2 linked regions of the Drosophila melanogaster genome follow. The protein of the gene in region 1 interacts with the protein of each later gene in a pairwise test. Each region holds a gene or a part of one and is shown on either strand. Other genes may lie near its edges.

Region 1 (3,936 bases):
TTGTTTTTTCACTTTGTTTAGATCTTTTTCGCAGTGCAGCTGGCTGATTTATTTTTTGTGGCTCTTTGGCCGGCTAGCCACAATGTCTGGTATGGCCAATCAAGTGTCGTTGTGTGTGTGCAACTGCGTGTGTGTGTGTGTGTCTATGTTGCATGACCGCGGGCCCGTTTAACCAAATGCAATTTTAATGACGTGACCAGCTACTAAAAAAAAAGCCCAATCGCTGCGAGCTGGCTGTCGCTGGCTTTTGTTTTTCCTATTTATCTGCCGCCGACTAAGTGGGCAGTTCGTGGGCAGCATGGGCCATTTGAGCATTTGAGCATTTGGGCATTTGGGCATTTGGTATTGTCCACAGATTTTGGCCAGCTTTATTTGTTAGTCAGCCTTTTGTAATCGGCGGGGCATTAAGTCTGCTGTGCGACATCGGCCACATGAGTTGTATTAGCGGAAGTGTTGGAAATAAATCATGCTTCGCATCCACGCACACAAAGCGGCGCACACACAAATGCACAATTTTCATCGACATCGATGGGGCATCGCAAAGACGCCGACGAACTGCCTCCGCCCAGCACCCCACAAGCCGGCGATCCCTAGGCACCCAGCATCCGAACATCCGGGCGAGCGAATCCACATCCACGCATCCATGGATCCCCTGCCCGCCGCACCGCACCACCAGAACACCCAATTTTCCACAGATGAATTAAATGCATTTTAAACACACATGCAACAACAGATGGGGTCAAATTAATAGCAGTGTACGCCGCATATGTATCTTCAAGATTGATAAACAAACGCACTGTGTACTTTTTCGTAGATCAATCATTCGATTCATGATGTAACTGTCTTATAATTACAAAACTCTTTCTATATTCCAGTGAATACAAAACTATCTAATACATTTTAAATGCATCTTGGCTGTATTTTAAATATAACTCCAAAGTTTGTAGACAAGCTTCAAAATTATTTTAAACATTTGTTTTAGATATTCGCACCTCTGTTTTTTTTTTCAAGTTCCATAAACATTTCCGTTCCAAATTCTCATTAACATAATTTATTTTCAAGACAACCGAATGTTTCAACCACAAAAATGTCTTTTTGGTAACTAAATGTCGCAAAGATATAAATTTTGACCAAAAAACATAATTAATTAGGGGATTTTTCTATAGGCGCTACGAAACAGAAGTATTTTTTTTTTTTTTTTTGAGAATCTTGCATGATTCATGGGAAATATGCAACATAAAATCGTTCACACTATATTTTAGTTTTTGTGCGTTTTTTTAATTGCTATTATTTTGACTGCATGTGTAGAATAGCATGCGTGCAGATCCAAATACATCTGCGTTCTCATGGGTATTTGTGGCTATGCGAACGCGGATTGTTTTCATGAATGAAACATTTTTTATTCCATTTATCACTTGGCACCATGTCTCCTTCAGCTGCACTTCGATTAGCGACTTGGCAGCATTTTTGTTTCGGTTTAAGAACTATAAACCGACGCACTTTGCATATAAACACGGCTAACTGGCCCATACATTATTTGGCTTTTATGACTCGAATATTGAACTGTCAACCGTTTAGCGTTAATTTTACCCAACGATTACCTAGTTGACACCACTGGATCGCTCGAGTTTCCTTCTTTTTTTTTCGAAAATGTTTCAAAATCCGTTTTGCGCACACATATTGAAGCAGTTTTTATTTTTACATTGGAGAACCACGTCGGATGTCGGATGTCGCCTCGCAAACTCCGCGTAAACAACCCGATCCCGTCCAGGCCCAATCGTTCCGTATCCCGTATTCCGTTCCGTTTCGTTCAGATCCAATCCGATCCGATCCGATCCAACCGACGTCTTCTCGAGAACTGAGACTGAGCGAAGCAAAACGCCAACGCTCCGCGGCGAGCTGAAAAACGTCGCGTTTGCCGTTGACTTTTCCACACACATGTTGGCCGTGCACAGTGGTCTGGAACCGAGTGAAAAATGTGCGGATCGCTTTGAAAATCCCAGGGGGACGCACAAATGCTTCCACGATTTCTGCGAATTGCGAATGCAGGCAAAGGTGCTAGTACACCGAGAAAAACTCAAACGAAGTCTGTTCTACTCTAGTACAGAAAAAATATTTTTTAATTTTACATTAATCATTGATCTTCAAAATGCTAAAAATAATGTTTTAGTTTAGTTACTCGACTATCTGCTTGGATGAACTTGTTAATCCCGATCAAGGATCAAAAACAGCTTCTTTTACGTCTTTCGTTGGAATCGATTTCTCGTGCAAAAGATAAAACATAACTGATAAAAATTCAGTATGGAAATAAGTAAACATGTTCATGTAATTTGAAAATAATTACAATTTAAACAAAGCAAAAAAATAAAAGTATTTAGATATGAACATATGTATAATTACATTGTTAACTGGCGAAATTGCTAAATCGATTAGTATTTTGATAATGTCATCAAATACAATTAACATAAATAACAATAAGTTTTTAGTACCATGTTGTCAAAGCTAGTTACAAGTATTCTCTGCGTCGCAGTTGGCATTCTCGTCATTGATTTAAATGTAAAAACAAAAGAGTTGTTAAGTAGTATAAAATAGTTACATAATGTAACCTTCACAGGATGCCGTCGTCTTCAAGTTTACGAACTTCGCCTGTCTAAGTCGCAATCAATCCTGGTTTGTGTTCCACAATTGTCGTCTGAAGGCGGTCAGTCGTGAGAAGGTCTTACTCAACTTTAATGGAACGGTTCTACATCCGGCCAATAACATAATAGTTCACGTCAAGCTGTTTAAAAAGGCCAACGGTTTTAAGCCTTGGTTATTAGACGTAAAACTCGATGCTTGTCGCTTTGTGCGGACCAACTTCCATCCGTTTGTACGCATTATATTCGATCTCTTCAAAGATTTCTCCACCATAAACCACACGTGCCCATATGTGGTAAGTATTTTAAAATTAATAACTCAACATTTAATTTGGTATCACAACATTGCATTACCACAGGGCCTGCAAGTCGTAAAGGATTTCTATCTCAGGCCCGAGAAATTGAAGCTGCCATTTCCATCTGGAGACTATTTGCTATCTTTAATATGGATATTCGACAAAAGGCCACAGTTCGATACGAATGTTTCTTTTGTTTATGCAGAGGATCTCATAAACGCATAATCATCGAAACTAGAGATCGACTAACAGATACCCATTACTGAGCTTGTGAAATTTGAAATGAATAAAATCAAAATATTTGCGGGCCCGGTTAATTTGAGAAACTTTTTTTGAAATATTTTCGATGGACAATTATTGAAACTAATCCCTTTAAAAAAAAAATACCCTTCCATGCTGATTATTTGCAAAAAAACCAAATAAGGCACAATTATTTTCACTGCACAGCTATTGTACTTCCAATGGCAGTAAACCGAATGTTACACTCCATGGACGTTCAAATGAGCCAAACTTTCCCAAAGAAGCACTTCACAATTCGCAATTAAATTTAATATTTTTAACGATCGCAAAGTAAATGCATACAGCAGAAATACATATATATGCACAAGGGAATTTCTATATCATTAAACTTAGGATTTTTGCTATGTACATTCAGTTTGGCGTGTTGATTTGAGTACGGCTTAGTGGTAACAGTGCCAGGCGGCCACCCGCTGACCTGGCGGGGATTCCCGGATGAGTCGCATCTGCTCGGAGCCCGTATCCCCCGCCTGATCTCCGCCGACTATGACGGTGCCGAGCACCAGTTTCTTGCCCATCTTCTTGGTGGCCAATGTGATGCGCAGCACGATGTCCTCCAACTGATCGAGTCTCTGGAGCGGTATATCTATCGTACCCTCACCGGATCCATCGTCCCACTTGGTGGACAGCGAGGGAAAGAAAATGGGGGACTTCCAGGCGTCTATGTAGATGCCGTGCTCGAAGGCCGTGGTCTTCACATACACACC
Region 2 (3,226 bases), on another chromosome or scaffold:
TTTTTTTCAAATTTCTTTTTATAAGAAACCGTAGACCTGGAAACACATCCTGAAAACAAGAGTATTTATTAGAGGACACCCTAAACGCCTTTGTTCACTGGCACATAACCAGTTGAGTGAATGCGTGTGTGTTCGTTATGGCAAAGCCATAATCTTGTTGTTTTATAACTTTTAATGCCTCCTAATCCAGTTGCTGCTCCTCGGGCTCATCCTTTTAAGCTTCTGTACCTTCTTCTTGGATTCCACTAGCGCCAGTTCTGTCGCAAATTGACCAAATGCACTTAATTGGTAAACAATTTGGCTTTCACCCAAGCGAGAAACGAGGCCGGCTCGAATAAGTTCGATTCCAATTGGCCCGGGGAATGATTTGCTTCAAATTCTCAATGCACTTCCTAATCGCCAGTGGATAATTTAGCACTGGCATTGCATAATGCCATTTAACTAATTGTTCTAAAATTACTTAACTCACGAAAAGTTTTAGTATTGGCCGAAGTAATTAAATGGCTCGCGTGGTACTCGCATGTACCTTCTGGCTTGATACATCAAGTTGATCATAAGCCAAACATGGATGAAGATCCTTTGGATAACTATTTGGCATTCAAGGATTAACTTAGATAAAAAAATCACGATTGAGCTAAAAAAAAAAATTTATTACGCACAGATTCGCTTTTTGATATATACAATTATTTATGAACCCGGAATAGCCGAATGGGCAAAACTCGAAGGGGAACATGTCAAGCGATTTATTCTGTGGAGGATGCTGTGGATGATTCCGTCGAGGATTCCGTAGAGGACTCTGTAGTGGAGGACACTGTAGTGGACGAAGCTGTCGTGGTGGAAGTGCTTGTTGAGGCCTCAGTTGTCGTGGATGTGGTTTGGTTGGATGGAGGTCCCCATGGTTTGGGGCCTCCTGGTCCACCTGGTCCTCCTGGGCATCCTGGTCCTCCTGGGCCTCCTGGTCCTCCTGGTCCTCCTGGGCCTCCTGGGCCTCCTGGTCCTCCAGGTCCTCCAGGTCCGCGACCTCCTGGGCCACCTGGTCCGCCAGGTCCACGTCCTGGTCCTCCGCGACCACGACCTGGTCCACCAGGTCCACCAGGTCCACCGGGACCCCAAGGACCAGGTCCTTGGGCGGAGGCCACTGCGACCAGGGCAACAAGAGTAACAAGGATAAGGGTACGCATTTCGTTATCTGATAGTTAACGACTCGAACTGATCTCGGCATTACTTGGCATCGGTATATATACCCACCGTCTGCTAAAAGTCTCGGTGGCACATGTGTTCCATCGGTGACGTTTGCGCGTTGAGCAAACTAACGTCAGTGTGGATTTGTAAATTCCACTTTCCAAGTCAGTCACTTCGCAATTGACATTGGCCTTCACTCTGGGGTTCTGTCAGATGGAAAGAATATGAGTTTGTAGACAATGGTTGATTCATGTTTAGGTTTATTTCCAAAATTGTTGGTTACAAAGCTTTGTTAATGAGTCTATAAAAAATATATACTCTTCTCTATTTTTTCTGAATTTAATAAATTATTCATATTGAAATGGTACTATTACACATATTTGAAAATAAAGTTTTATAAAATTGAATGCTGGATAAATGCGTCTTAAAATCAATTGCATCTAAAACTATTTCAGTTCAGAACTTAACAATGCTTTTACCTTATGGTAGTAAAGTACGAATAATTTCTACCAGCTGTTTGGATTGCTTTATGGATCTTACATAAAGGAATCAGCAAGTTCCGTGAGCCATTATCTAGCTAAATATTTGCGCTCCATCCATATGTGATGAACTTTGTGGCCAGGCGTCAGTGGACTTGATGTTTATAAACCATCAATCGTGTCTTTGACAAGAGTGTGAATTACCTAAGAATAAGGATGTTTGAACAAGTGGTTCCGTTAGGCTTTAATGAAAGTCAAATTTGCAAACACGTAAAGTTGAAAACAACTAAGGAAAGAGAAATCGTAAGAAATTCTGGAAAGTCTATTATATAAATCTTTAAGTTGTTAATACTACAGAAATGACTTACTTAACATGAATTCAGTGCATTCTTACTATATGTCGATAGTAAAAAAATCCTCTTGGGGCTATATTACCACTTACCACTTATTAGTGCTTTACTCAAAACTCAATATAATGTGACGATACATCTATGTATATGCTTATGTACACTAGTCGGCATAAGTATTTTGACAATATAAACGCAGTAAAACTTTAAAATATTTTGATATGACAACAATGATTTTTGTTGTTGTGTGTAAGTAACATAAATTTAAAAATTAACTAACGAAACTTAAAAATATATAAACAATTTAATGAAATATGATGATTTTTTGTATTGGCTTAAAGTTTTTGACAAGCCTTTAACACCTCAGTAAATAAGTTTAATTGAAGCTGGAGCTTAGGAGTAGGGAACCAATTAATAAAATATATATCCACCTTTGGCATAAATAACTTTTTGAAGTCGGTCCTTTACTGAATCCACCAAATTGTAAAGGATCTCTGGATCCTTCCTCTCTTTTCGGAAGGCTGGTGGTCAGATACCACTGAGATTGGTGTTTTGGAAGAGGATTTTTTTAAATTCCCGTATAAGGATTCTGTCGTCAGCGAATGTTGTTTTGCGCCTAGGTTTAGTTCTTTTTAAATTTTTCAAAACTTTTTAATTTGATAATACACAGAATGGCGTGACAAATTAAACTCTTTCGCAATGTTTTTTTTACTTTAATTCCAACGTTAAATTGTGCTACCATTAATCCATTAATCTAATAAACAAACTTAACTTTTTACACATACCTATTAATTATTTTTTTTGTTTTTAATAACGTTTAATAACCAAAAAAAAAAAAATAATAATAACCAATATATTAAAGCTCAAAAGCAGGATACCATTTAGTAAATGGTTGTCTGCGTGCATTCTTGTAAGTAGAAAGGGAATGCAATGGGTAAGCCGTAAACAAATTTGCATTTGGTGTGCTAAATGTTCATTCATCATTCATGAGCAATGCAAATGCTCATCGTTTCGCTCTGTTTGTTAATGTCAAGCGCAAGTAAGTTTTAAAAGAAGCAGGCTATTTTGTCAAAATAGTTACTGGTGTAACTGGTGTATGTGATATGTATTTCCTCTTATTTTTTTTTTTTGGCTACGCAAATGTTCTAGAAATAAAAGCGAACGTTATTGGCCGTGGAGGTAAGTGAAATTTCATCAAGGTTTTTGTTTGTATACAAA

What was found.
Region 2: the proteins of CG10663 (region 1) and lcs interact in a two-hybrid assay, tested with the Drosophila melanogaster proteins (one large-scale study listed by BioGRID).

Annotation. Positions count from the first base shown.
Region 1 is NT_037436.4:12,483,200-12,487,135, forward strand, and holds the start of CG10663 (uncharacterized protein), read right to left. Parts: upstream 1,837-3,936; 5' UTR 1,602-1,836; intron 1-1,601. Other genes in the region: CG33725 (uncharacterized protein), read left to right, coding at 2,491-2,556, 2,615-2,932, 2,996-3,157; CG10660 (uncharacterized protein), read right to left, coding at 3,613-3,936.
Region 2 is NC_004354.4:21,396,100-21,399,325, forward strand, and holds lcs (la costa), read right to left. Parts: upstream 1,218-3,226; 5' UTR 1,182-1,217; coding exon 744-1,181; 3' UTR 628-743; downstream 1-627.